Pelodiscus sinensis: one gene and its partners. The protein of the gene in region 1 interacts with the protein of each later gene in a pairwise test. Links are inferred from orthologs where the notes say so. Each region holds a gene or a part of one and is shown on either strand. Other genes may lie near its edges.

The links.
Region 2: the proteins of PTPN9 (region 1) and AGTRAP interact in binary tests that used the Homo sapiens proteins (3 or more experiments, as listed by UniProt). The two-hybrid records come from large-scale screens. The link is inferred for Pelodiscus sinensis from reciprocal best matches to the Homo sapiens genes PTPN9 and AGTRAP.
Region 3: the proteins of PTPN9 (region 1) and REEP6 interact in binary tests that used the Homo sapiens proteins (3 or more experiments, as listed by UniProt). The two-hybrid records come from large-scale screens. The link is inferred for Pelodiscus sinensis from reciprocal best matches to the Homo sapiens genes PTPN9 and REEP6.
Region 4: the proteins of PTPN9 (region 1) and MAL2 interact in binary tests that used the Homo sapiens proteins (3 or more experiments, as listed by UniProt). The two-hybrid records come from large-scale screens. The link is inferred for Pelodiscus sinensis from reciprocal best matches to the Homo sapiens genes PTPN9 and MAL2.

What each region holds. Positions count from the first base shown.
Region 1 is NC_134724.1:34,422,040-34,429,731, forward strand, and holds the start of PTPN9 (tyrosine-protein phosphatase non-receptor type 9), read left to right. Parts: upstream 1-4,672; 5' UTR 4,673-5,493; coding exon 5,494-5,526; intron 5,527-7,692. UniProt on the Homo sapiens protein: Protein-tyrosine phosphatase that could participate in the transfer of hydrophobic ligands or in functions of the Golgi apparatus.
Region 2 is NC_134733.1:8,001,261-8,008,703, forward strand, and holds the start of AGTRAP (type-1 angiotensin II receptor-associated protein), read left to right. Parts: upstream 1-4,427; 5' UTR 4,428-4,522; coding exon 4,523-4,549; intron 4,550-7,443. UniProt on the Homo sapiens protein: Appears to be a negative regulator of type-1 angiotensin II receptor-mediated signaling by regulating receptor internalization as well as mechanism of receptor desensitization such as phosphorylation.
Region 3 is NC_134729.1:17,444,780-17,451,782, forward strand, and holds the start of REEP6 (receptor expression-enhancing protein 6), read right to left. Parts: upstream 3,001-7,003; 5' UTR 2,982-3,000; coding exon 2,867-2,981; intron 1-2,866. Other genes in the region: PCSK4 (proprotein convertase subtilisin/kexin type 4), read left to right, coding at 3,888-4,244. UniProt on the Homo sapiens protein: Required for correct function and survival of retinal photoreceptors. Required for retinal development.
Region 4 is NC_134712.1:22,505,297-22,512,197, reverse strand, and holds the start of MAL2 (protein MAL2), read left to right. Parts: upstream 1-3,896; 5' UTR 3,897-4,032; coding exon 4,033-4,164; intron 4,165-6,901. UniProt on the Homo sapiens protein: Member of the machinery of polarized transport. Required for the indirect transcytotic route at the step of the egress of the transcytosing cargo from perinuclear endosomes in order for it to travel to the apical surface via a raft-dependent pathway.

The DNA of each region.
Region 1 (7,692 bases):
CGTCCCTTGCTAGCGCTAACTGCAATTCCAATTGCTTTCGCCTTCCTGATAACTCCCCTGCATTCTTGAGCAATATGTTTATATTCCTCCCTAGTCATCTTGTCCAAGTTTCCATTTTTTATAAGCTTCCTTTTTGTGTTTAAGCTCGCCAAGCATTTCCCTGGTAAGCCAATCTGGTCTCCTACCTTATTTGCTTTTCTTATTGAGCATCCGGATGGTTTCTTCCTGTGCCTTTAATAAGCCAGTTCTCCTGGACTCCTTTCCCCTTCATGTTAGCATCCCAGGGGATCCTGCCCATCAGTTCTCTGAGGGAGTCAAATTCTGCTCTTCTAAAATCCAGGGTGTATATTTTGTTGTTCTCCTTTCTTCCTTTGGTCAGGATCCTGAAATAGACCATCTCATGATCACTGCTGCCCAGATTGCAACCCACATCTACTTCCCCTACTAGTTCCTCCCTGTTTGTGAGCAGCAGGTCAAGCTGCGCATGGCCCCTGGTCAGTTTCTTCAGCACTTGTACCAGGAAGTTATCCCCAGCATTCTCCCAAAACTTCCTGGATTGTCTGTGTCTTGCTGTATTGGTCTCCCAACAGATGTCAGGGTGATTAAAGTCCCCCAGGAGAACCAGGGCCTGTGATCTGGAAGCTTCTCTCAGTTGTCTGAAGAAAGCCTTGTCTACCTCATCCACCTGATCCGGTGGAATATAGCAGACACCTACCACAACATCACCCCTGTTGCTTCTGTCTCTAAACTTAACCCATAGACTCTCAGGCTTTTCTTCCTCTATCTACTGGAGCTCTGAGCAATCATACTGCTCTCTTACATACAGTGCAACCCCTCCTCCTTTTCTCCCCCGCCTGTTCTTCCTGAACAGTTTATACCCTTCCATGGCGGTGCTCCAGTCATGTGAGTCATCCCACCAAGTCTCCATTATTCCAGTCAAATCACAGTTCTTTGACTGGGCCAGGGCTTCTAATTCTTTCTGTCTGTTTCCTATTCATGTAGATACCCTTAGATACACCTTAGATAACCAGTTGATTGCCCTACCTTCTCCATTTGAATCAGGGGTCCTCCTTTGTTGCTCCTTCCTCCGTGTTTCTTCCCCATATCCCACTTCCCCACAGGTTTGAACTCTTTATTATGTTATATTGACAGTTATGCTCAGTGAGGGATGGAGATGGTATGTTAGGGAGTAAGTGTTGTAAGACCTAAACCAGTGACAGGTTCATCTTGTAAAATGACAAATATTGCTGTAGCGCTCTGCAAATCTCAGATTTTGAAGTCAAAATTAAACTGCTTGGAGGAAATTGATGCAGGATTCCCCTTGGAAGCCTGGGCCCCTAATCAGGGCACTTTTCAGATGCAATAAAGCACTAATTTAATTAATCCTCCAGGAATCCAAATCTAAGCCTAAGCATCCTTGGCCTCTTGCTTCAGGGAAAGCTGCCGCTCTGGTTTCTGTCTGTATACTTCCTTCACAGAGCTTTCCAAGGCTGTCCAGCAAAGAGGGGAGTCAAATACAGTAGGAAGAAAGGGGCTTTTTCCTCTACTAGCAGGGGGAAACTGAAGCTTTCATTCTATATTGTAAAGGATCTCTTGCAGATACAGCTGCATGATTCTGCTTTAAAATATTAGCAGACTCCAGGAATAAATCTGAGCAGAAAATGAAAGGGGTGGGAGAGAAATTGTTAAGCAAAAGTGGCTGGCTGCAAAGCATTCTGGTTCCATAGCTCAGAGTTTTAGGGGCGATGCTGATCCTGGGGCGCACACCACCCTCCTGCAGCTCCTTGTATGCACAAGTGACATGTAAATCTCTGCCAGGAGCCTGCTGAGGCAGTACAAGCATATAGGTGGGGGCATAGGGATAGCTTGTAAGGACTCACTGCTAACCCCCAATAGAACAAAGTAGCTCAAACGTGGCCGGTGGTTTCTAGAGGTGTGGTCACCTTTAGTGTGGAGATATGGCCTATGCTCACAGCCCACCTCAAAGCCCCATAAGCCAGCTGGATTTTCAGCCTCCATGGAAAAGATAGAGATAGCTGCACTCTGCTCCATTTTCTTGCAAGTTAAATACAAACTCTCCAGTTGCAGGCAAGTTGCCAGGGCAGCCCTTGTCAGCAGAACAAAATGTTCCCCTCCTCCCCCCGCCACTGAGACTGGTTGGGATCCAGCTTTCTGAACCAGCAGGCCCTGCTGCAGTAACCAAACATGCTCCCAGAGGCAGTGTGCAGCACCTGTGGCCTGAAGAGCTCTGGATCAAAGCCCTGGGAGCATTTTTTAAAAACCCTGGAGCACCAGGTTGCTCCACTCCCCACTAGCAGCAGCTGCTGTTCAGCTGTGTCAGTGGAACCGCCCACCCAGACTTTGAAATGCCACTGGTAGAGGTGGAAGTAGAACTAGTTCATGGATACGGGGGAGTGGTGGTGAGCACCCATCCTTTCCCTGGAAATGGCACCTGAAACTTGTCTGGCTGACGTGGTGAAATGGTACGGAAAAAATTGCAGTTGCTGAGCTAGTTCACTACTGATCTGGTTCCGCTCCAAGGGAATCCATCATCTCGCTCTCGTTCTAGAGATGAATATTGTTTGTGCATAGCCGTGCGGCAGCACAGTGTAAGTGAACCAGCCAGGTGGATCTTTGCTTCTCTCCATCAAATAGAAATCAAATAGGTAAATTTTTCTTTTTATTTCATATATAACAACAGTGACCACTTCCCATCAGAACATGCTCCAGTGAGGGGGATGGTTTGAACTCTGACCACAGCTTTTATGGATCCTGGTCTGTCAGGGAATTGGCCAGGTGCATCTCTAGTGCCGGAGAGATCAGTGTAGTATACAGTATGAATTAAGGGCTACCGGTAGGCAAGGCACTGTACACTTAGAAGACAAGGCCCCTGCTCTGTGAAGTTGAACACCCAAGGCAGGTGTTATTTACTGGTACAGTCAGAGCTCACAGGAGCCTTAGTCATGGATTAGACTCCATTGTGCTAGGTGCTGTACAAACAGAACAAAAAGATGGTCCCTGCCTCCAAAGAGTTTACAAAGTAAGTAAAGATAATGGACCATGGGTGATAGAAAAGGGGAAGAGATAAATGTAAACAATGGGAAAGAACTAAAGCTAAGCTCTTATAAGCACAATACTTTTTAAGGATAAGATAGTTTATCTATTAGTATTGTCTCCATAATGACCAGACACCAGAGTGGGAGTTGATAGCAGTTGAATATAGTGGAAGCTCTCTGGGGCGGGGTGATCTCGCAGGGATGTGACACAGATCTCAGACTCTGGGCCATGTCAAATCTTGAACTGCTGTCATCTGCCCTAATCCTATCTCTATGGGAATGTATTGGAGTGCACAGCAAGGCATTCGAAAAAAGAAGACAGTACGTTTTGGAGGAGAATTTGGACATGAGGAAAACAGAAAGGGAGTTTTACTTTTAAAACTTTAGTTAAATCTAGATCGGATTACAGGAAACAGCCACAAAGCAGGGATCTGAAGTTGAGATCAAATGAGCCAGCTCTTTGGGCCCTGCATGAATTTTTCCTGATCAGCAGTTCTTTAGTTTCTCACGACATGACCTTCCATTCTCTCCTCCTCAAAAGGCACTTTTACACATCTGTTCAGCTCCTGGGGTGGCAGGAAAGGTGGGTGCTCTAGTGTAGATAAGGTTCCAGCAGCTGCTACCATTTTAACCACCCTGTCACATAGACTTGCTCTGGCTTAGTCAAAAAGGTACTTAAAATACCAGTGGCTACTGGACTGTTGTTTAACCCGCATAAGAACGGCCATACAGGGTCAGACCAAAGGTCCTTGTAGCCCAGTATCCTGTCTGTCGGCAGTGGCTAATGCTGAGACAGAGTTGCACAGGAGTAACAAGAGTGGGAATATCTTTATTAAAAAAGACTTGGGCAGAGAAGGGCAAGGAGACCTGTCAGCCCTACGCCAGTCGCCTCTGCTCCCCGGGGTTACTTGAAGAAAGCGTCTGTAATGGTAAGAGGTGCCAAATGTACCCCCCAGGCACACTTGTCTTTTGTTCTCTTCACTATAAATTCTTATCGTGCGCTCATCACTGAAGCATCCTGTTACAGTCCCCTCCTGCCCATCTTTGCTTGTTATCAGGGTCCCAGTCCTGCCACTGGATCCCCTCAGGAAGATCTTGCTGCCATTGACCTGCAAGGGCCCTGACTGTGTTCGTGGCCTTAGAATGCATGGGCTAGCTCTTGCAAACAGCTGTGCCCACAGTGCGCCAGGCACGTGACAACACATACAAGAACAAAGGTGGGGGGCAACCATGCTAGGTTTTTATCTAGCCATAATGTTCTGGGTAGACTTGGAGGTGTGGAAAGGATTCACGCCTCCACTGAATTACGGGAATTCGGGATCTAAGGGCCTGTTTGCAGGTACAGAACAGCAGGATGACTCTAATATTCTCTTAAACCGGGATGACTCAATATTTTCTGTTGGATGTGGCTGTCCCTCCCTTGTCTAGATTCCTCTTTCTTTCCCTTGTTTGCTGCCCTGCCTCTGTCTCCCTTGCCCTGGATAGTTTCCTGTTTCTCTCTCCTTCCTTTGGACGAATGCCTCTTTCAGCCTCCCCCCCCCCCCCCCCCCCTCGGCTTATGCAGAACTCTCTCCCTCCCTGGGTGAGAGCCCTCTCCCTGGCTGTCCTCTGCTGTTGTGAATGAGATTCAGTTTCTGAATGGAGTTGCTGGGGGCTCTGGCTGGCTCAGCAGGGGAAGCAGCATTGGCCATGAGAGGAGGGGGGGCGGGGTGTCTTTCCTTCCTTCCTCTCCGCTGCTTTTGAGGAATAAGGGCTGCGAGGCAGACAGGCGAGAGATGGAGGCTGCAGGAAGGAGTTTCATTCTCTAAAAGGAAAATACAGCTGAAGCCAGGGATTTGATGGTCTCAGGCGAACTCTGTGCAGGAAGCAAGGGCAGGGGGATCTTGCAAAGGCAGAGAAGAAAAACGGAGGCGGCTGAAGCCATAGCCGGGAGAGATTGCGAGCCGATCTGGGGGGGATGAAACTTCCAGGACAGCGGGGTGTTTCCCCCCCTTCTTGGGCGTGCGATTTTCTGTAGCCTGCAGAAAGCCGCGAGGGGGACCGGAGGGAGCCCGGAGTTTGCGAAGGAGCCAGAAGAATCGGGGCCGGTTCAGAGGGGACAAAACTGAACTTCCAAGTCACACCCGGCCTGCGGGGGCAGGGATCGCTCGGCCGCCTTGCCCCCTCCAAGCGTGTCGCTCGGCTGCGAGGGCGGCTAATGGGCGCTCGCCGGGCGCTCGGAAGCCGCGTCCCCAGTTGAGCGGGGCGTGTGCGGGGCCCCGGGCGGCGCGGGAGGCCGCTGCCCCGGCGGGGTGTGGGCAGGAGGAGCGGGGCAGGGGCCGGCTTGCGGGGCTGACTCAGGCTGGTCGATGGTTGGAAGCCCCGGTTTAAAAACTCCGCAGAAGCGAAGCAGCCGCCTCCGGAGCAGTGTGCAGGCGGGAGGAGCTGCGGCAGCAGGATGGCCGCAGAGCTGAGCCCGGAGGAGGAGCAGGTAACGCCGGGCCCCCCTCCCCCGGGCGCCCCACCGAGGGGCTGGCCGGTCTGAACTGGGGCCCAGGCAGGAAGGGGGGCGCCTCACACTGCCACCCACCCCCGGTGCTTCCTCCGGGGGCTCAGTGCAGAGGGGGCTTTGGGAGGAAGGGCTGGATCGGGGCCCCCTGCCCCCCATTTTCGTGATCTTCCCCCTTATTCTGCCCCCCGCCTTGAACTGGGGGCGCTCCCGGCCCCTCCGATTGGGAAGGGCCATTGGGGGACCCCCTAGAGCCTGGCCTCTTCTCCTTTCCGGGGGGGCCGCCGCGGCGCTGGGCCATTATCCCGGAGAAATGGGGGGTCACCTCGATGCGGAGCGGGCAGGAGATGGGCTGGGGGCGCTGCGGCCTAGTCTCCGGCTGGGCCCCATAGGGACCCCCCCCGCGCGCCCGCCCCATCGGGCTCCCCGCAGGGGGCGCAGCCCCGCCCCGAACGAACAGCTGGGGGGAATCACCTCCCTTGTTCCGGTGTCAGCCGCCGCCCCGGGGCCTGAGGCAGAAACAGGCGGGACGCCCCGCGGAGCACGGAGCGTGCAAGGGACATGGGGGGCTAGCCCCCCTTCCTCCCCGGCAGGAGCTGCCATAGGAGGTTTCAACCCCCAACCACATGTGGGGGCCTCAGTCTCGAGCCCGGCGGGGGGGCAGGCCTGGGGTGTTCCTGAGGTCTCACATCTGCGCCCCTTTGCCCCCCCCCCCCAGTCATCGCGGCCCTTTTTATTTTTCCGAGTGGGGCGGTGACGTGACACTGAAGATTGTGCAGTGAAGTCCCCCGTGTTCCTTCCCGAAATGATCTAGGGAGCGAGGCGGGCGGGCGAAAACAGTCCCCCCCGCCCCCCAGTCTGCGTGACCCTAGCTGCTCCTGGGCCTGCTGCTCATCAGCAGGCTCTGCCTCCTGTCCCCATCAGCTCCCGAGAGATCTCGGAGAGCAGCTTGTGCTCAGGGGACCGCTGGTATCTCTTCCTGGACCTGCTTCCGTGTGTGACCTTGGGAGGGAGTGGCTTTGCCTTTGGGCCTCAGTTTCCCCATCCAGGAAATGGGGCTGTCCACCTTGCCGTGAGTGCTGTGCACCTTACTGGACACTCCTGACATGTGCCCTGCTATCCCCCCACAAAATGTGCAGTGGAAGTAGGAGGAGATAACCGGGATTATCCCCTCCCCCATTTTAAACTGCAGCCACCCTCTTTTCCTGTTTTGCCCTCTTCATTTCGCTCTCGCCAAGGCTGGATTTTAAGATTTGTTGCTTCCCACGCCCCATTCCTCCCTGTGACGTTCACATCTTCTTGTCACTGGGTTGCGTCACTGCAGGAGGATGTTGCATACTTATAAATATAGGGACTGCTGTGAATTTTATCAGGGGTTGGGGGAGTGTTAACCTCATCCTGGTTATGGAGCGGAAAGCTGGTGTGTATGGCTCAGGCTGCTGATTCAAGCCAGCCCTGATTTTCCCATGCCCCTGTGCTCTTTAAAGATGAGAACTCTTTTATAGTCTGTAGCATTAACTCTTCTGTGCCCGCAGCTGCTTCCTGCAGGGCCTGGCTCTCTCCCCTTCCCTTCTCTCCTGTCCTTGTCCCCACTCGTCTCTGCTACCCTCATGGACTCACAGCAACGCCTCCCTTTCTGCCCAGGCTTAGACTGGTGTCCTCTGAGCAGTCCAGAGTAGTCCTCGGTCTGGCCAAGAAAAGTATCTGCTGATTTTGGGGAAGGCAACTGCAGCGTCTGTTATAGACAGGCTGATTCTGCTTGATTTGGAGCTGTAAAACATCCATGGCTCCACCAGGTTCTGGTTTCAGTGCAAATAAAGCGAGGTGAGCTCCGGACAAGCAGACTCCTGTGCTGAGTCCCACTGAAGTCAAGTCCCTGGGTCTGCATAGGCATTCATTGCAGAACCACTGGTCATTACAATATCAAGTCACCCTTAACAGCTGGCTTCTGTGTGAGATCAGGGTAAAACGTGACTGCTAGGTTTTAAACAGTCAGAAAAGGGGGCCTGGATTTTTTTTTTTTAAGAAAGATATTCTTTGCTTTATATTTTCAACGTGTCTTTAATAAATCAATCCTCCAAACACCCCTGTGAAGTGTGAATTATGATCACCATTTTACAGCTAGGGAAACTGAGGCACCGTGCTTGT
Region 2 (7,443 bases), on another chromosome or scaffold:
GTTCCTGGAGAAGGGATTCTGCCAGACCAGGGGAGGTCATTTCTGCCTCCTCCCCTGGCTGCCAGCCCCATCCTGCCCCAGCCTTCCTCCCCTTCCGGCTTCTTGGATCCCCCCGCAGCCAAGTTGAGCTTCCTTGGGCAAGTCACTTGAACCAAAATACAGAGTGGGAACTGAGCCATTTTATATCTGCCACAAAAGTGAAACTAAGCCTACTGGCACAAGACTGTCTGGTCAGCCCTGGAGAATCTATAGCTGCAGGAAGCAGGAGGAAGTTGTATGGTAGGAAAGTGACTAAGTGAGACTGAGGAAGTCATAGCTGTTCAATCATTTCATTTCTCCACAGTACACTACTACACTTACAACTACAAGCCCTGAGCTAGGCCTGCAACCACAGTTTCCTTCTCTCAACTGTGAGAGAGACAAGAAAGAATAATGAAGGTACCGTTAAAGGGAGAATACAAGCTCTCCATCTCTTTCCCTGTGTATGTGTGAAGCAAAGGTGATTGTGCGACTGCGTATCTTTAAAAGTCTCAGAGAGGTGGCCGTGTTAGTTTGTAACTTTAAAAAACGAGTCATCCTGTAGCACCTTAGAGGCTAACAAAAAGATATGAGCTCTGCTCATCTGAAGAAGTGGGTTTTGCTCACAAAAGCTCGTGTTACCATGTCTATATATTTGCTAGTCTCTAAGATGCTAAAGGACTACTCATTGCATATCTTTATACACCTTTAACAGCTGCAGCTCCCTTGGTTTTCCCATCTATCTTCTGCTGTCTGGGATTCCCTTTTTCCCCCTAACAGTGACTCTCTGTCTGCGTGCTTGTCTCTGACCTTGCGGGGTTCCTGCTGAGTGACTCAGCATGATAAGGAAACAAAGGAAAAGGACAAGAGAAGATACGTTCTCTGAACTAGTCCAGACTGAAGACAGAGAGACTCAGTCCTGGGGGGAATGTAAGCAGAGAGAGAGGCAAAAAGACCAACAGGATCAAGAGCGGTACGACCTCATTCAGAAGGACTTAAACCACAAAGCCAGTTGCTAGAGCACATTAAAGAGCAAACGCTAAAGCCTGGCACTTCAGCAGCCATTTGGCAACATGGAGAATGACTCCTTCTGGCTAGGGCCGTAGGCTTCATCCTTGAGGCTCCCAACCGCCCAGCAGCAGTGTCCCTGGCCTTCCATGTGATAGGACAATAATAACAACTGCTCTGAATGCACCTCCTGCCTGCTCTGATGCAGCTGTGTGCAGCCAGCTCGTACACTAGTTCTTTACAAATGGGCTGTGTCTACACTGGGCCACTTATTCCGGAAAAGCAGCCGCTTTTCCGGAATAAGCTGCAAGCTGTCTACACTGGCCCCCTGAATTTCCGGAAAAGCACTGACGATCTACTGTAAGAAATCAGCTGCTTTTCTGGAAAAACTATGCTGCTCCCGCTCGGGCAAAAGTCCTTTTTCCGGAAAACTGTTCCAGAAAAGGGCCAGTGTAGACAGCCCAGTAGTCTTTTCCGCAAAAAAGCCCCGATCGCGAAAATGACGGTCGGGGCTTTTTTCCGGAAAAGCGCATCTACATTGGCCACGGACGCTTTTCCGGAAAAAGGGCTTTTCCGGAAAAGCATCCTGCCAATGTAGATGCTCTTTTTCCGGAAATACTTATAACGGAAAACTGTTCTGTTTTAAGCATTTCCGGAAAAGGGTGCCAGTGTAGACGTAGCCATGAAGTTTAAGAAAAGTTCTAGTTTGTGAAAAGCCAGCTGTATTTTCCCTGTCTTATGAGACAGAAGGGAAAAACACCCCTCTCCCTAAAAACAATTGATTGTCCTTATATATATATACATGCCTCTGTAAACTCCACTCCAATTCATCTGATGAAGTGGGTTTTACCCACGAAAGCTTATACCCTAATACATCTCTTAGTCTCAAAGGCTAGTTCTATACTAGACCTAGAAGGTCAACTTAAGGTACATAACTCCAGGTATGTAAATAATGTAGCTGGAGCTGACACCTCAATCCAAATTTGGCACTGTGTCTCCACAGTGGGAGGCTGACAGGAACAAATGCTCCCATCAGCATCCCTTATTCCTCACAAATCAAGGAGTACCAGCACCAATCCGGGGGTGCCCTCAATGTTCGATTTGGTGGGTCCTTACTAGACCTGCTAAATCAAATGCCAGAAGATCCATTTCCAGCGTGGCAAGTGGAGATGTGGCCTCAGGTGCCACAAGACTCCTCTTTGCCTTTACACTATGTACACTAACACAAAGTAACACACTGCCTGGGAAATGCACACTGTCAAAGGGCGCTTTGGAGCAGGAATATTTCCCTCATGGTGATTTAGCCTTGACATGAGACATCTGCCCTTCAAAGGACACTCCACAGCCATCCTGCACTGGCTCAGGGGATGGTTAAATCTTTCCTTGCTTTTCTCCAGGTTGCCAATGATTGGAGTAAAGTGTCAGGGAAGCAAAGAATAGGTTGTGTCGCCAAGAATCACAGCTGGCATTGCAATGTCATTAATGTCAACAGGACAGTCGGGGAAAAGAGTCCCTGCTTTCAGGTTTTCAAAAAGTCTTGAATTCCTAAAGATGGGAGCATCCAGGACGTTCCCTGACCAGCCAACATTAAATGTCAGTAAATCACCTACCGTGATGCTTGCATGATGAAGTACCCCTTTCTGTTTATGCACTCAGCAGCAAAACAAGGGGTAGGGATGTTAAATTTAGATTAACTGGCTAATCGAATTGTTGATGCAAGTTGCATCGACTATTTGTTTAGTCGATAAGGGTGTCTCCACCTTTGAAGTGTAGCAACAGCCCTAGGGGCCAGCAGGGGACTCAAGCAGCTGACCCCGGGCTCCACACGGCATTGCTGCTTTGAAATGCCACGTGCAGCCTTGGGAAGTCCATCAAATCAAATCCATCTAGTATTTCTTGGAGGCTGCCTGGCCTGACAAGCCCCCACAGCAGGACACTCTTAATGGCTTTGAACACCTGGGTGGCCACTGCCTCCACCACAGATTTTCCAGCACCAAACTGGCTGTTCACCAACTGAGAGCAATCCAGCATTGCAACCTGCAGATAGTGATTGGCGGCACCTGTTTCTCTACTGTCCATGCGGTTCTTAGTCTCTGTAGGGTTGGGGTGAGCTCCGCACACAGTTCCAGGCATGTGGCCTTCTGCAGCTGAATGTCCCACAGCCACTTTTGGTGCTCTCAGATTTGTATCACACTCCAGCCTCATCACTGTTTGGACCCAAACCATCTCTCTAGGTGCCATCACTCAGTGAAAGCCTGCAACAGGTGCTCAGCTTCATCCTCTGTCTCCCTGCTGAATGTCCGGCTGCTATGGTAGACCTTGAAATGGACAAAACAGCTGCATTGATCAGCGCAGGATTCAGGTTTCTGGTAGCGAGAAGGGAAAACAGTGTGAAGGAGCAGATTATGAAATGGGAGAGATTTCTGGAAATTTCTTCCCAGACTTCCACAGTTCCCTGGGAGGAGTGATGCTACCCCACAGTACTTGGCCACAGCCCCATAGCACACTGCTGAAACTAATTTGGGGCGTGGCTGGAACACTTTGGGACTTTTTAAAGCAGTGACAGTGCAAGAATCAATGTCCTCAACTCCCAGGGCAGGCTAGTCACTGATGAGAAGTGGTATTTCTGGAGGTCAAAAGGATTTATCACCCTTTCCTGTGGGGCTGTAAGAACTGAGGCAGCAATGGAGGGATGTGCAGTGACATTAAAAACACCCTGACCCTTTAGCAGCTTCCAAAGAGGCCTGGCCTCAGGGAAGACATTTTTGCATGCTTGCTTTTAAACAATAACATTTGCACCTGCAAAAATCTTTCACGGTCACGGCTGATTTGCAGCCAAGGGGGTGAGAACTGGGAGCACTAGCAGCCAGAGGAAGAAGGGGCAGTGCAGAAAACGCAGTCGGGTTGCACACCCTACCTGCCTGGATACCAACCGCCCCTGTGGAATACTGACCAGCATCTGAGGTGGTGTGGCAGGTCGCCAGCTAGGGCATGATGGCCTGCTCCCTCACCAGGGGCTACACACCCTCTTACTGAGTTCACAGGGGAGTGGGAACAATTTGTACAGGGGCAGTGCTGAGAGTCATGGAATCAAACTGTACACCCTACAATGGGGACTATCCTGGGAACTACTTGAAGGGGGGCAGTAGCACCCCATCTCCAGCGCCCTGCTGCCGCCCCCCCTCAATGCCGCTTCGGGGGGGGGGCTATCCAGCTTCTTGGGTCAATTCCCCGCTCCCCTCTCTGGGGGTGTCTGTGTCTTTCTCCCTCTTCAGCGCTGGGCTGGCCGCTCTCGGGCTGGGTGGGCGTCTCTGTGCAGCCCTGGCTTGGGGGAGCCCCCGAGGAGGGACGCGGGGGGCAGAGCCAGCCCGGCGCCGGCGGCCGCGTCCCGCCCCCGCCCGGCCCCACGTGAGGCGCTTCCCGCACAGTCACGGGGGCAGGGCGGGGCGGTGGAAAGTTGGGAAGCGGCCGGGACAGGCGGGGGCGCCCCGCGAGCATGGAGGTGCCCGCTGTGAACCTCAAGGTACCGGGGCGGCGGGCCGGGGCTGAGCGACCCGCAGAGGGCGGCCAGGCAGCGGGCGGAGGGGCGCAGGGCTAATGGGGGGGGGGCCGAGCCCTGGCAGGTGGGTCCCGCGGGGCTGCAGCTTCAAGACCGCCCTGCCCGCTGGGCAGCCCCTCGGGCACCGGCCCGCTGCAAGGCAGAGGTCTCGAACCCCCGGCTGGTGGGAGAAGAATGGGGGGGGGGGCAGAACCGCCCCCCCGGCTGGTGGGAGAAGAATGGGGGGGGCCCAGAACCGCCCCCCGGCTGGTGGGAGAAGAATGGGGGGGCCCTAGAGCCGCCCCCCCGGCTGGTGGGAGAAGAATGGGGGGGCAGAACCGCCCCCCGGCTGGTGGGAGAAGAATGGGGGGGGCAGAACCGCCCCCCGGCTGGTGGGAGAAGAATGGGGGGGCCCTAGAGCCGCCCCCCGGCTGGTGGGAGAAGAATGGGGGGGCCCTAGAGCCGCCCCCCGGCTGGTGGGAGAAGAATGGGGGGGCACAGAACCGCCCTTAATTGTTCAAGAGCCGCATGTGGCTGACCAGCTGCAGTTTGGCCACCCCGGACTCGCGGCACCCGGTCTCCCCCGCGCCTCCCCGCAGCCCCCCGCGCCCGCACACCGGGGCGCAGAACACGCCCCCGGGCCCTTTGGGGCAGCGCTGGGTCTTTCACGTCCACCCAGCCGCCGCCCCCTGGCCGGGCTCTGCTTCCTCGGGAGGGGTCCTGCGGCGCTTCAAAGCGGGAGAGCCTGCCGGAGCCGTGAGCGGCACGTGGGAGTGAAGCCGGGGAACAGGCATTCTCCAAACCGAGGTCCACACTGTCCCCCTCGGAATGGACTTTTCTCTTAGTCGACAGAACCGTCGTTGAAAAGGCGCTTTAAGAATATTTCATTGGTGTGTCGCTGGAGGTGAGAAGTATTTGTACAGTGGGGGTGCTGTAAACAATCGCTCACCCCTCCTGCCCTGGGGTAGAGGGCCCATAAACCCTAAGGATGGCCCTGCCTGTTCTGTTCTAGGGCAGTGGGTGAGCCCGGGTCGCCCTTTAACTGGGATCCAAACTCTGTATTTTTTTAACATAAGAGGCAGCTGGAGCTGCAGACTCAAACCTGAAGGTCTTTGTCTTCCAGTAGGGTTGTATCCTCAGCTAGCATGGCTGAGACCCCCAGCTGTAAGCCCATGGGCCCAGTGTAGTGTGGATACTCAAGCCCTAGCTTGGAAATACCAAGTCCACACAGCTGGGGTTTACAGTGCAGTTTACAATAGACTTACTGTCAGGATAACCCCAACAGATGAAAACACATCAGATTGGAGGGTGGTTTTTATTTTGACAATGGCTCGGTAAAGGTTCCATGACTCTTGCTGTTGGTCAGGCCTTTGCCCAGGGGTCAAAATTCCCCCTCTGCTACAGGCTGTGCATGATCCTCACTGTGCACTCCAGAGAGCTGTATTCACATGGTGCAGTGTGACTGATACAGCTCTCCCTGATGCGCTGGAGGTACAAGATGTTTATTGGCTGTTGGTTTTATCAAATATAGTGACTTATTCTCATCTCAGGATGTTACCCATACAAAATTCTCTGTTGTTCACACATTCTAGGACAGGGATGGGTAATCTTAGGCCTGGGGGCCGGATGTGGCCCCCAGCTTGCTTGAATCTGGCCCCTGAGGCTTAGGGTGCCCTCCTGCAGGGAGCCTGTGCTGGCACTCCAGCCCCCTGCTACCCCCCATGGGGATGGAGCATCCAAAATCTACTAGGCTGGACCCCCAGAGGCTGTGGTATGCAAGGGGCATGTGGGAGAATATCTTTCTCTCAGTTGGGTGCCACATCAATGAGGGTATTTTGTGTGTGGCTCCCGACTGATTTTTCTGTGGGTCAGTGGCACCCACCCCAAAAAGTTTCCCCTCCCCTGCTCTAGGAGCACCCACCCTCACCCATTTATAGGGCTCAGGTATAACCTTTTCAATAGGCACCCACCCTCTTCCTTCTGTGGGCTCAGGTGTAACCTTACACTCTGTGGGTTTGTGGGGTCTTTTATCAGGGAATGAGCTTTACACGGTAATATCCTACTTAATCTCTCTGTATTAATCACTATCAAAGCCAGCATGCACATGCTAGCATACAGTGCTCACCGCTCCCAGTAAGTCAGATGAACTTGTCTTGATAGCCAGTCAGGTTCAGGTCCAGCTCGGGGACTCCAATTTCTGCACAGTGTTATTGGCACAGGGTCTGGCAGCTCTGATTTTGGAGCTGTGTCCTGGATTTGGCTTCCAAAAAATTCTCTTTTGGGCCCCAGTTTATATAGTGAAACTTGAGTCCTGCTTAGCTAGACTGTCATCAATTATTTTACTAAAATGTTACTAATCAGTCCTAACATACTGTAACAGAATTACCTAACTAACCATACCCCACCACTTCAATTGATATATACCTAGCAAAATTAATTACACAGCAGACTGAAACAATTAAAAACCACAGAGAGTTAGCTGTGTTGGTCTGTAACTTTAAAAACAATGAATAGTCCTGTAGCACCTTAGAGACTAAAAAATGATATATAGTACCATGAGCTTTCATGGGCAAAGTCTACTTCTTCAGATGAGATCTCATCTGAAGAAGTGTGTTTGCCCATGAAAGCTCATGATAATATATATATGTATAAAACCAGAGACAGAGATCATACAAACAAACAATAGAAAAGTGAGGATCATAATCATACAATGAGGATTCCATAATCCCACCTAAAGAGTTTCTTGATACATGAGATGCTATCAAACTAAGTTTTCTTTACCCATCTTGAGATCTGTTTCTTTATCTGGCGTTATTGGTTGTCATTAGGGCTATGTCTAGACTGCACGCCTTTTTCGACAGAGGCTTTGTCGACAGATA
Region 3 (7,003 bases), on another chromosome or scaffold:
AAGGACTGTGACTGAGAGGAGAGTGCTGTCTAGTGATTAGAGCACCCCCAGCCATGTCACATTAGTTCTTGTGACCTGACATTTGGAGTGCCTGCGAGCTGGGAATTTGGATTCCTAGCATGAGCATCAGGGTTGATAAAAATCAACGATTTAAAAAAAAAATTCAGATAAAAAAAGAGATCAGTAAAATACTCCATTTCCCATTTAAAAACAGTTACAATTAAATCCCATCACAGAAATGCTACCCGGATGCTTAAAAAGTCTCTTAAAAATGAATGAATGGACCTAGCCTGTCCAGCCTAACCACCAGCTCCTGCTTCTTGAAAGTTCTGGGCTTTCCATTTCGGTTTCTCAGCAGACGACAAAGCGACATGTGCAAAGTCAGACGCATCCTGAACGGGCTTGTTTTTTGTGGCCACGCACAGCAGAGGAGTTAGTTAAGAGAGTCGCTTATAAAGACAGAATCGCAATATATAGAAAAGGACGGAGGCAGCCTAGAAGAGAACAGTGAACTGAAAAGAAAGAGAGAAGATGTTATTCAGAGCACACACACACTCACGCACAGCTTTCTATACCCTCCACACTGGTGCCACAGAAAAACCGTCCTGGTTTCTGGGCACAAGAGAGATTCTCTCTGGGAATAGTTTGAAGAAATTCATTCCCTGGGTAAAAAAGGAAAACGTGACGGATAAGCAGTCCATGCAGGATGATAATGCAGGGCCTACTTGCAAGAATGAAACAAAGAAAACTGCTTGCTGGGAAGAAAGCGATGTGGATCTGACTGAGTGGATCAACGGGTTAGTAACTTAAATAATTCACTTTGCAATGCATCGTTCATAGAATCCTAGGGCTGGAAGAGACCTCAGGTGGTCGAGTCCAGCCCCCTGCCCAAAGCAGGACCAATCCAATTGTTCTTCAAGAATCTCTCTCCCCCTTTTAAAGCGATTTGACTAGTAAATTCCCAAGCTGTTTGCTGTGTTGAGTGTTGCTAGAAAAAAAAAAGTTTAGCTTAGCTAATCCTTATGGCTTGTTGAATTAGTTAACTAGGTTTAGAATCTATCACCCAAGTATACAGCACAGAAAGCTGCAGTAAGAGAAATTTAGAGTTGCCTATTGACACGGAGTGTCATTTTTTGTTTTATATTACATAATATACTATTGTATGGTATATATAATACTGTATTCTACTGTATAATATCCCTTCTTTTGCAACCTCATGGCCACAGTCCATAATGGTGATGTCATAAATCTATTCTTTATTTTACTTCAGCATAACTCCGTTTTTTAAAGGGAACCCCATTCTATATTGTTCTTGTTTTTTTGAGAAAACAAGAAATGAAAGTTTGTTCAGTGGGGCCTCTTCCAAAATTAAGTGCCCTCTAAGCACAGTCTAGCTTAGCTTTGACGGTAACTGGCGATTATTTTTTTTGGGGGGGGGGGGTGATTTAAACTGTGATTAAAATCAAATTATTTAAATCGCCTCTATTTAAATCAATCCACCCTGATCAGCTGCAGTAAATGTTTAAAAACGGCCTGACAGAAGAGGGGAACGGGAGTCAGGGTGCCAGTTTCTGGTCCTGGTTCTGCCACAGGTTTCCTGCCAGTGGGCATATTATTCACTACTAGATCGCTCTGCACTTCCATTCCACCAGGCAGAGATACTGGTCGATCCCGGAGAGGCCTGGGGCAAATCCTGAACTTTCTACCGAGTTGCTAGCATCCGTCAGAAAAGCACAAAACGTGTAGGTGGAAGCACCGAGGCAGCTCAGCCCAAACAGCTACATTAGCAATGTTGTGCTGTTACCAGGTGCACACACAGGGTCTGTAAGCGCTGCTGGCCTGGATCAGACCCAAGGACCATCCATCCAGGACTAGTTGCTTCAGAGGAAGGAGCAAGAAACCCCACAGGAGGCAGAAGTGAGAGACAACCTCCCCCCATTCCCTAACAAAGTTTGGATTGAACTCTAAGCAGGACACACACTGACAACGTCCATGATCCCCTTAAATACTTGTCTGAAAAGGGGTCACCATCCTCCAGCCAAGCATCTGCCCCCTGTGCTCCAGGGCACATATCCCCACACCCAGAAGCAGTAAGGTGCGGCAGAACAGGCCACACCTGGGCAGAGACCAGGAGAAGTGGGGGGGAGGGGGCGTTCAGCCCAAGGCAAGAGACTTTTCCTTTTTGAGGGTTCCACCATCCAGGGCTTCCCCTGAAACAAACTCAGCCAAGCCGAGGTCTTTTATGGGACAGATCTGGAGGCACCTGCTGGGAAAGGTCACCTCAAAGTACTGCTCCCCAGGGTTTGGGGGAAGGGGCTGCAAGGGAGGGGTGCATTAGGAAGGGAATCCCAGCGGGAAGGGGGTTGAAATGGGGGGGGGTCAAGGAGGGGTGCATTAGGAAGGGAATCCCAGCGGGAAGGGGGTTGAAATGGGGGGGGGGTCAAGGAGGGGTGCATTAGGAAGGGAATCCCAGAGGGAAGGGGGTTGAAATGAGGCAGGGGGGAGGGGTCAAGGAGGGGAACATTAGGAAGGGAATCCCAGAGGGAAGGGGGTTGAAATGGGGGGGGTCAAGGAGGGGTGCATTAGGAAGGGAATCCCAGCAGAAGGGGGTTGAAATGGGGGGGTCAAGGAGGGGTGCATTAGGAAGGGAATCCCAGGGGAAGGGGGGCCCTTGGAGAAAGGGAAGGGGGTGTTGTGAGCAAGGGGGGTAGCTGTGCTGAGTCCCCTCGGAAAGAGGGGAGCCCCCCGGGACTAGGGGACTCAGGGAAAAGGGGGGGGGCTGCCGGATAAAGTGCCCTCCCCGGGGAAGGAAGCAGCCCGGCTCTGCAGGAAGGGGGTGTCCTTGGGGCCGCCCCAGGGCTCCCACCTGTGGCTAGGTAGTAGCGCTGGACGCCGGTCTGGGTTTCCAGCCAGCCCAGCAGGTCGGCGAGCAGGCCGGGCTGGTGCAGGAAGGTCTGGAAGCGCTGCCGCAGGGAGCCCATGGCTGCACGCTCCGGCTCCGGCCGCCGGCTGCTGCTGCTCGCTCTCGGCTTAGCGGCCGGTCCGCCCCCCGCGCCGGGCCAATGCGGGAGCGGGGCGCGGCCAGGTGGGAGCCGGGCGGGCACGTCACAGGGGACAGGTGAGGGCAGGCGTGGTCAGAGCAGGGGAGGGGCAGCGGGGGCAAGGGGCAGGCGGGGGGGGGGATCAGAGGCAAAGGGAGAGGGAGAGGGAGAGGGAGGGGGAGGGGCAGGAGGGGGGGGAAGAGCGGAGTTGAGCAAAGCAAAGGGAGGGGGCAGGGGCAGGAGGGGGAGGAGATGGGGCAGGAGGGGGGAAGGGAAGAGCGGAGCAAAGCAAAGGGAGGGGCAGGGGCAAGAGGGGGGAGATGGTTTGGGGGCAGAAGAAAAGAAGGGGAAGGGGGAATCAGAGGCAAAGGGAGGGGCAGGGGCAAGAGGGGGGAGGAGAGGGGGCAGAGGAGAGGGCCCCGAGCTGGCGGGAACGAAGGCAAACAAGCAGAGGGAAGAGCCGAACAAAGGGGCTGGGGTGCACACACTGATTTACACTGTAAGCTCCTAGGGGCAGGGACTGGCTTTTAGTTGTGCATTTATACAGCACCTTGCACAGCGGGGCCTGAGCAATAACTGGAGAGCCCCAGGTGCTACCTGGATTCAATTAAATAATACACATTTACACAATGGCTGCTGCAAAAGGAAAAGCTCCAGCCAGGCACGCACCAGCCCAGGGCAGGAGGAAACACTCACACGCGCCTGGAGCTTTAAAAAAAAAACTACAACTCCCAGAAGGCCGTCTAGCCAAGGAACACCCCTCCCTACTCGCAAAGCCCCCTGGGAGTTGTAGTTTGTTGGTGAGCCGACGGGGTCGTTCCCCGGCTCCTGCGGCTTGCGGTTGCTATGGCGACCCCGGGGTGTGAACACGTGGCGCGGGGCAGCCCCAGCAGCCCTGCCCGTGCCCGGGAAAGAGGCAAAATCGAGGCCCCGGCTTCAGGCGGAGCGCTAGGCCGCAGATCCCGGGCGGGGGGGTATTTAAGGGCCCCTTTTAGGGGGCAGCCCCACGTTTGCTCCCCCCCCCCGGTCGGAGCCATGGCGGGGGCGGCGGCCTGGCTCCGGCTCTCGCTGCTGCTGGCCGGTGCCTCCTGCTGCCGGGGCGGGCTCACCGTCTACCTGAGCAGCTGGGCGGTGCAGGTGCCCGCGGGGGCCCGGGAGGCCGAGCGCCTGGCCCGCAAGCACGGGCTGCTCTGCCTGGGGCAGGTGAGGGCGGGGGGGCTACTTGCCCGGGGCGGGGGGTAGTTGGGAGGAGTGTGGGGGGGCAGTCTGCAAGTCCCCCCCCCCAGCCCCAGCAGCTGGAGAGGGAGCAGCCCTTTTCTCCCCACTATTCCAGGCTCCTGTGTCCCCCCCCAGCACCCCCTTTCCTAGAGAGGCTGCCCCCCAAATCTCCCCCCCCCCGCCTTCCCCCTGAATTCCTCTTCCACAGGCCCTCCCCAAGAAATGGGGGGGGGGTGGAAGAGAAAGAAGGGTGTTTATAAGAGCGGGGGCTTGCAGAGGGATGCACCCCCGTCCCCCGAAAAACACCCCGATGAGGGATGCACCCCCGTCCCCCGAAAAACACCCCGACGTTTGTTCCCCTGATGGAAAATCTGCTGGAGAGAGCCAGGGAGCTGCCTGATGAAAGGCTGCCCTGCTGCAGACGTCTGAGCTCTCTGGCTGGCCATTCCAGTTGACTATACCAGCCGTGAAATTACAGTGCAGGCCACAGGACTAAGTAGGAGGCTTCCAGCCACCCCTGCATTGGTGCCATTTGATGTGGCAATCTTTTCCTCCTGCCTAGCTTGTCTCTTCTGTATCCATTTTCCTTCCCTCCCTCTCCGTTTTCTCTCTCACGTCTGTATCTGAGGCGCTTTTATCCGGATCTATTTTTATTTTAGATGAGGGCATACTAGCATCATTACCAATTCCCCCTCATGCGGTAGCTCCAGCTAAAAGCATACAGCTTTGACAACCGAGGCAAATGCATCTTTAAAGAGAAGCTCTAGACAGCAAGGTTGTTTAAAATACCACGGACGTTGAGCGTGTTCTCTGCCACCGGGGGATTTGCAGTGAGTGGCAATTGAAGAGGGAAAACAAGTTTGATTGGCTCCATAATTAAGTTTTGGTTTAAAAAAAGAGGTGCTTTTACCAAAAAAATCCAAGACTAATGAAAACATGTCCCTGAAACTTTTAATCATGTAATAATAACGGAATTCTTGCTTTTTCAAACACTGCAGTCCATGGCCGTCTTCACTGGTCCCTGGTCTCTCTGGATGCATTCTCTGCACCTTTTTATTTAGATTTAAGTGTTTTAGTCCCTAGATTGAGATTTGGGGCCCTGTTGTGCTAGGTGCTGTACAAACATCTAGTAAATGACAGCTACTGTCCTGAAAAGCATGCAGTTACATGAGCTAACACGAAGCCAGCTGCCAGTGGACAGGTACCTGAAAGAAAGCTTTATCTCTTGTTAGTTCTAAATGTCCCACAGCCACCATCCTCTGGCCACGGGCTGTCAACCAAGAGATCCAATTCACCTTCTCTGTCTGTATAACCCATTTTAGGCTTTGAAAACCAGCAGTTTGGTTACAAATGGCCTCCCCTCCCCACCTTGTCGTTCAACCTTCGGTTGTACCAAAACAAGCTCCACCTTGATTTGCCGACACTTTAGCCATCCTCCACGGAGCTTTTTTTGATCACACAATGGCTTGCCCTCTTCATAAAACCCTAGGCAGGAGGCATGCTGGTGCTAGATGTCCCACCAATTCAATGTCACCTTATTCTGACTTCTTTCCAAATCCCATTCTCCTCTTTTGCCCCTTCTTTTTGATTCCTCTCAAGTCACTCTCTGAATTCACTCTAGGATTTCTAACTGTCCTTTATACAGTACTAGGTGTTCTACATTGCGCTATTTCAGAAGACCCTGCGATCACTCCCTTCTTTCCATTCGCCTTGAGTCTGGATAGTTGAACATCGGTTTGCCCCCTTCCTTGTTTTGTTTTTGTTTTTTTTCTCCACAGTATGACTGTGACCAGGTAATATTTCAGTCACCCACCTAACCATTATCCATGTAATGCTTTGCTAAGTAACAACCATTTGCTGTTACTATTGTGTAGGCCTGTCTTCAGGGTAACTTAGTTGCATGGATAATCTAGTTTTGAGCTGAAACTTGCCACAAAACCTTTTAATCTCTTAAACAGAGAATCTGGGCTTGTAATCTGACGTTACAAGGATTGCCCCTTTATCAGCTCTACCTCTGTACCTTTTCCTAGCTTTCTGCTGCAGCAGCCAAATGGCCTCATCAAATATTTAAAAGGCTGTGCAGATCCTTGTCTTGCTTTGTTCGCTTTAAAAGACAGCTTTTGCTAATTAGTTGTGAAACCAGCTCCCTACGGATGGTGTTTTCAGGGCCGGGAGCCTGTCCTTTGGGGAGAACAAAATTCCATTCTACACTCACCGTGGTTTCACGTAGTGCCCTGTGATTGAGTAAAATGGAAAATGGATGGACCCACCCCAGTGAGCTAGCGGTTGGCAGCTTGATCTCCATTAGCTCTCAATTACTCTGAAACAAATTCTAAAATCATACAGGCAAAGGTAGAAATGAAATTGCTAATGCAATGGGCCAGATAAAAAAATAAAGCCATGGTCCTTAACTCAATTAAGGGTGGTTTTTTTTTGTTAAAATACAAAGAAAATGCACATGTTTTATTTAAATGATTGTACTTTTAAAAATACAGTGTTTTATGGAGTTAATTCAGATTTCTTAAAAAAGGGATTAACATTTTTCCATTTAATTTTTAGTATATTTTTTTAAATGAGAATTGCATCAAGTGTATATTTTTTTCTTCACCCTGTAAATTCTTTATCCTTCACTATATTTTGACAAAAATGGACTAAGGTCCATTTGGTTTCCAGTAATGTTTTCTTCTAGTTTTCAAACCTTAAGCTCTGATTTAGCTGTGCCAAAACAGAGCACTCTGCCAGAT
Region 4 (6,901 bases), on another chromosome or scaffold:
TTATTTCGGGCTCACTATTCCGACATCCCTGTAAGCCTCAAGTTAGTGATGTTTCAGAATAGTGTTTTATTTTGAAATTTGGCTCTGTGTAGATGATGCCAAATGACAAAATAAGCTATTCCAAAATAGCATCGAAATATCTTATTTCGAGTTACGGTGCAGTGTAGACACACCCTATATAGTGTTCCTGGGGCAAACTGTCCAGTAACTTAAACAGAGATTAGTTCCAAAATATGCTAGACTCCTAGATCCTTCCAGACCACACAACATTTATTTCCATAAACCTGCCGTGATGGCAGAGGTGAAAGTAAGCCAGTGCAGCACACCAGTAAGAGACTGTTGGCCACAGCACACACAGGCATGAGCTCCAGGGCTTGGGCTGCATGGTCCCCAGCTAGCCACAGTGCTCGGGCAACAGGGCCCCCAGTGCCCCAGGGATCCAGCAGTCACGCAATACAGTGGCTGCACTCCCAGCCCTGAACTCCCAAACACATCCCCAACCTCATCCTGAGGCTCTCTCACACACACACACCATCCCCTACCCTGACTCCTGCACACCTACACCTGCCATAAGCCCCTTATCCCTACCTTGACTCCTGCACTCACCAGCCCTTGTCCTTGCCCTCATTGTTGGCTGCAGCTACAGCACTTTAATGCTAGCTGTGTATGGACTGGTACTGGCAGCCACTTCTCGCTGGTATGCTGTATTAGCTGTCACCTCTGCCCAAATTCAATGGGAGTTCTGAGTTGCATTATGACAGAGTGGGATATTTGGTATCAGAGTGTAGACTCCATTTTGTGTTGCTTAATGAACACATCTAAACTGGCCCATGGCATCTTCTCATATTGCACTTTAGACAGTGCCTGTTTAGGAAAGATGCTTGACGCCTCATTGAAAGATGATCCTGATGCTTGGTCTACACTACACAGTCTGGTCCATGTGGAAATGTCATCACTTAAATTTGCCTCTTGTCAACATAAGTGACTCTCTATGCCAGTTTAGTAACACCATCTTCCCTACATCTTCACTACAATTGATACAAGTCCTTCTAGTGAGGACATGCACAACCAACACAATGGACCAGATGGGCACACACAAATGCAATTTCATATCTGTGGTAGCAATATATCAACAAAATTTTGTAGTGTGGAGATATGGCCTGAGAAAGCATCAAGAGAGCAATTGATGACCACTAGCTCTATTCTCTCTCCATTCCCTGTCCTATGGAACAATGAACTTCCCACATTGGAATGCACAGGCAGGCCTGCTGACAGCAATTCCAGGCCCCAGGGCAGAACAGTCAATGGGCCCCACACTTACACAAACTATGCCTGCACAAACATGGACTGCCTGACACCTGGGCACTGCTGTGCCTGCACAAGCTGGTGCCGCACCTGCATTGACTGGTGACCAACGAGCTGCTAGCTACACTGCTGGGTGCACTCTTTCAGCATGATCAGCTCTTCCACCTGCCCACATGGTAGGGTTGCACACTGTGCAATTGTGCAACTTCAAAGACCCTTGCCCCACCCTTGCCCTTCTCCTGATGCCACATTCCTGTCTTACTCATTGTCTGAATCCCTTCCCCCGGCTCACTCTATCCCCCCTTCCCTCCATCACTTTCTTTTCCCCACCCTCATTCACTTTCATCAGGCTGGGGCAGAGGGAGGGAGTATGGGCTCTGGGAGGGAGTTTGAGTGCAGAGTATAGTCTGTAGGCTGGGACAGGGGGTTGGGTGCAGCTCCTATTGACCAAGCTGTCCAGCCAATAGGAGCTGCAGAGATGGGGTGGAAGCAACACATAGCAACTCCATCCCCAGGGGCCATGGGAATGTGCCAGCTGCTTCTGGAGTGGCATTGAGTCAGGGTAGGAAGGAAATCTGCCTGAATGTGGACAACAAGAAAAAAAATTGTTTATATGTGAAAAGTGAAATTGTTTCAATAAAATGAAATGGGAAAATAAAGTTTATTATAAATGGTGTGATAACTGCAGATGTTTCCAGATGTATTTCAGGCTACAAGTCTGATCTCTCATTAGCAACATTTTCATCTATTGGAACTCAAGTGACATTTTTTTGTCCTGCTATACTTTTCTAAACTTGGATGTTACTAAAGTATGTATACAATTTTATTGTACTTTGTATGGGAAACACACTGCATGTTATAAAGTAAAGAAATCTAAAGAAAGTCTCTGCCTTTAATGTTGACACCTCATTGTTTCTTCATAAATCTTGTGATACTTGATGTTTTTCTTAAAAACTTCAACTCGAAGAGTCATGGGATTGCACTACAGTCTCAGTTTTGGTTTGATGACTTTTTAAAAAGTAGACTTCTAAGCATTTGCAGTTGCAGAGATAAGGCTTGAATCCCTGAATCCTAAAGTCTCTGTAACTAGAAGGTAAATAAAAAGAATCCCAAATTATTTTTAAATCTCATGATTTTGGCAGCCTGACCCATGAGCTTTGAATGCTGGGATTTGGCAATACCATTAGTCATTCAAAGCATTCTGACATTTATTAAAGAAAGAACATCCTTCAAACTGGAAGCTAGAGTCGCTATTTTTTGACACCACCATAAGCCATAGGTTTATAAAACTAGGTTTTTATTTCAACCCTAAAATATTCATTACAACATTAACACTATTAACACCTCCATGGGAATATAATCATGCATCTGAGCTGGAATGTATTGAGTGCTAGTTTATCATTAACTAGCAGCAGGTTAAAAAAGAAAAATAAGAACAATTAGGTTTATGAATCCTGATGTCAGTCTTGCTGCACATATTAAAGCCACACCCCCTGTACTAAATAGCCTTGCCAAGAGAAAAAAAACTACCAGAGCATGAAAAGCTAGAAAGAAGCTACAAAGCAGATGAAAGCCAGCATCTGGATCTGAAGAATCAAGGTCTTGCTTTTTAAAAATCTGACATTTGTGAGGCATCACATTTTGGTTGAACAACCATATCCACACCAGGAACAAAACTATTTGGTTCCTTTGAAAATGAGGGATCAAAAGCCCCCAGGGAGAAAGGACTAGTCAGGATCCTACACAGATATACAGTATAAACTGGGAGAAGTGCAAATCAGAGAGGCCTAATCAGCCTCCTTATCTGCTTCTTCTGCAGAAAGATAACAAACCTGCATCATACCAATGGGACACACATTCTCTGTATGTGCTCTGTATCTGAACACCCACTGAGAGATTGAAAAGTAAAGGTGGATTTGGAGTGCTCCAGAGGTGGGAAGTGGGTAGGAGTATGGTTTGCAGATAGGGTCTAGGTGCAGACTAGTGTTCCCTGTAAGCTGTGCACCTGCACAAATGCTCAGGGGAGATGCCAATGCTGCTCAGCTGACTTTACAGCTAGGTTTGTGTTTCTCCTGGTGGCACACAACAAACATTTATTCCACACACGGATGGAAACGATTAGAGGAAACCCTCTGGCATGATTCCCTACACAGACTGTCTCCTTCAATTCCCCAATCCAGGGTGTTCCCAAATCCCAACCCCGGGCGAGTTCCCCACAGTACCACAGCCCCAAGAGACTCCCAATTCAGGGCCAGTCTCATGAATACCAGGGACTGTGGGGGACTAGCCCTGGGCTGGGATTCGGGAACACGCCAAGGGGGTGGTGGGCAAATGTTTGGCTCTGAGCTAGAACCAAAGCTGGGACTACAGCTGGAGCCAAAAGCCAGGCGGCTCTCAGCGAAGGCAACAGGAAACTCATCCTCTCCCTCTAGCGCTGTGGCCTAAGGGTCGCTACATGGGGCAGTGACCCGAACTCAGCAGGTGTGTGGGTCACACTGGGTCCACCCAGTGGCCACGAGAAGGGGGTTTGCTCGGCTGCAGCCCACGGAACCGGGGCCGTCGCCGCCCGGCGCTTGCGGGGCGGGGCGGCGCAGGGGCCGGGCCGGCGGCTGGGTGTTGCCCACACGCTTCCTGCACCTGCTCTGGGCGCCGCTGAGCCGCCCCTTCCCCCGCCCCCAACCTGCGGCCACGTCAGGGCCAGCCGGGCTCGGCTCACTCCGCGCCAGCATGTCGGCCAGGGGGGGCTCCATGCCGCCGCCCCCCAACCCCACCGCCTACTTCCCCGCGCCCCGGGTCACGCTGCCCGCGGGCTTGGACATCCTGCGCACCTACTCGGGCGCCTTCATCTGCCTGGAGATCGTGAGTGGCAGGGCTGGGGGCTGCTCGGGGTGGGCTGGCTGGGATCCCCCGCTCGCTCCCCTTCCTTCTCCCGCCTTGCGTCCCCGCGCCCAGCACTTGTTGCGCCGAGCCCAGGGCGCCGCGCCGGGCTAGGAGCGTGCAGTGCCCCGCGCCGCACGGCCGGTGTGGTGCATGCAGACCCGGGGCTGCAGGCTGAGGTGCGGGGCGTGCCGGAGCAGGCGGCACCGCAGCCCTGCCACCGTCCCCGCTGCTAACCTGCCATTTTGTAGGTGGGAGAGGTGCAGCAGCCGCCCCTGGAGCGGCTTGTGGCGGCGGCATCAGGAGGTTCTGCTCCGGGAGCCCGGAGAGCCAGAGCGGGCCTCTGTTCCCCAAAGGAGGACCCGGCCCGGAGACCTGGAGCATTGAACTTTATGCGCCGGGGATACGGGTATAGCAACAGGCTGGGGGGGATGTAGGTGGGGATGGGGGGAGGAGGCTCAGTGGGAGCCCTTCCCCATGCCTCCATCTTGCCTAATCCTTGTTTTCCTGCCTCAAAGCTTCCCCAGAAGGGGGATCATGACCAACATACAACTGTGCTGAAATAACACTGTTCTGATTGCCACTCAGTGGTTGTCATAGCTGCCTCTTGGCAGCCGTTTTATTTTCGGAGGGGTGGGGGAAAGAACACTTGGCCTGTATTATGGAGTGAGTTTGTTTTATATCGAGAAGATCTTGATCCTCACAAATTTAGATCAGATTCAGAAGTCCGAGGTAGTAAAACTGTACGGAGTGTGTGTGTGGTTTTTTGTCTTGAGGGCCCCTCAAACTCTAGCATGGATATTTAACCTCGCTGGCATTGAAAGAGTTTGCAGAATCACTATCGTGATTAGAGATTACAGGTCAGAGGTGATGAAATGCTGGCCCCATTGAAGTGAATAGCAAAATTCCCATTGATTTCAATCTGTCCGGGATTTCACCCACAATGCATTTTTTCTTAGTCACAGATTTGAATACTGTCTTAGACTCCAATCTTCAAATGGATCCCTATAGGTGTGCCTGCCCCTCCCCATGGGGCCTTGATTTTTGTTCAATATGGCCTTCACCCTGGTCCAAGAATCTGCTGGGGTGGATCCAGTTGCAGGACTGGAATCCACATCAATAGTCACCAAAAAGTTAACTTATTGATGGATTTGCCAGCCTGTGTAACCTGGGCTGACTTTCCTAGTCTAGTCCAGGCTTTCTCTGATATGGTGCCTGAGTACAATCATAGTTACTGATTACTTCAGTTAGTAATCTTGCTACCAGTCTCAGCAGTGGGATGTTGGAAAAAAAAGTTGTGCTGTTACAATCCATTAAATGTCTTTTCTCTGGATATTTTGAGCCTAAATATGGAGAGAACCTGTTTCCTCACAACAAATACAACCTGAAGAGAAGCCCTTGAAATTAATTTGAAGACTGATAATACTAATCCACATGGGAATACTGAGTGCAGGGAGACGACAGTGCACTTTTACATAATCAGCTTCATTTTATCCACACATTGCTATACTGTATACCAAAGAAGACCTACATACTCTTAACTGCAGGCAACATCTCCTGAAAATAGAGTCTGAGGTTCTAGATTTAGAAGAAACTGGGCAAGCATTATTTTGAAGTTGTAGTTCTCGCAGTCTGAAATGTTTTTCTTCTACTTCATACCTTGAGAGCTGGAAGGAGGAACTGGAAATGGCAATTCAATATAAATGTGAACACTGCTCAGTTCTATTTCAATCAAGTTAAGGCTTTCTTTATTAAAGGAACAAGCTTCAAGAAAGCAAGCATCACTTTTATAGAGATCTGTGTTTGTGATTGAAATAATTGAGAAGATCGGTGTGCTGCAACTTAAATTTTTAGGACTAAATTCTGCTCCTAATTACATAGATCTTAATATGAAATTAATTTGGCTTATATACTTCATTATCTGATGTTCATGACTCAACAGCTTACCATAGCTTTGCTGGTCTTCTATATTTTACTTTTGTTTGTTGCCTTTTACTCTTTTGGCCATAAACATTAAATTCTGTTTATACATTTACAATTATTTCATATCTGTGTCTGCTGGAAGATTACAAAGCTATATATGAGTACAAGATTTAGATTTCAATCTCATTTACATCTTTGACATACCAGTTGCAACAGATACATATGTATTTATATTTTAGGATAAATGAATTTTTATAATCTTTTCATTAATCATAGAATCATAGAATAATAGGACTGGAAGGGACCTCAAGAGGTCATCGAGTCCAGCCCCCCGCCCTCAAGGCAGGACCAAGCTCCGTCTACACCATCCCTGACAGATGTCTATCTAACCTGTTCTTAAATATCTCCAGAGAGGGAGATTCCACCACCTCCCTTGGCAATTTATTCCAATATTTGACCGCCCTGACAGTTAGGAATTTTTTCCTAATATCCAATCTAAACCTCCCCTGCTGCACTTTAAGCCCATTACTCCTTGTCCTGTCCTCAGAAACCAAGAGGAACAAATTTTCTCCTTCCTCCTTGTGACACCCCTTTAGATATTTGAAAACCGCTATCATGTCCCCCCTTAATCTTCTTTTTTCCAAACTAAACAAGCCCAGTTCATGAAGCCTGGCTTCATAGGTCATGTTCTCTAAACCTTTAATCATTCTTGTCGCTCTTCTCTGTACCCTTTCCAATTTCTCCACATCTTTCTTGAAATGTGGCGCCCAGAACTGGACACAGTACTCCAGCTGAG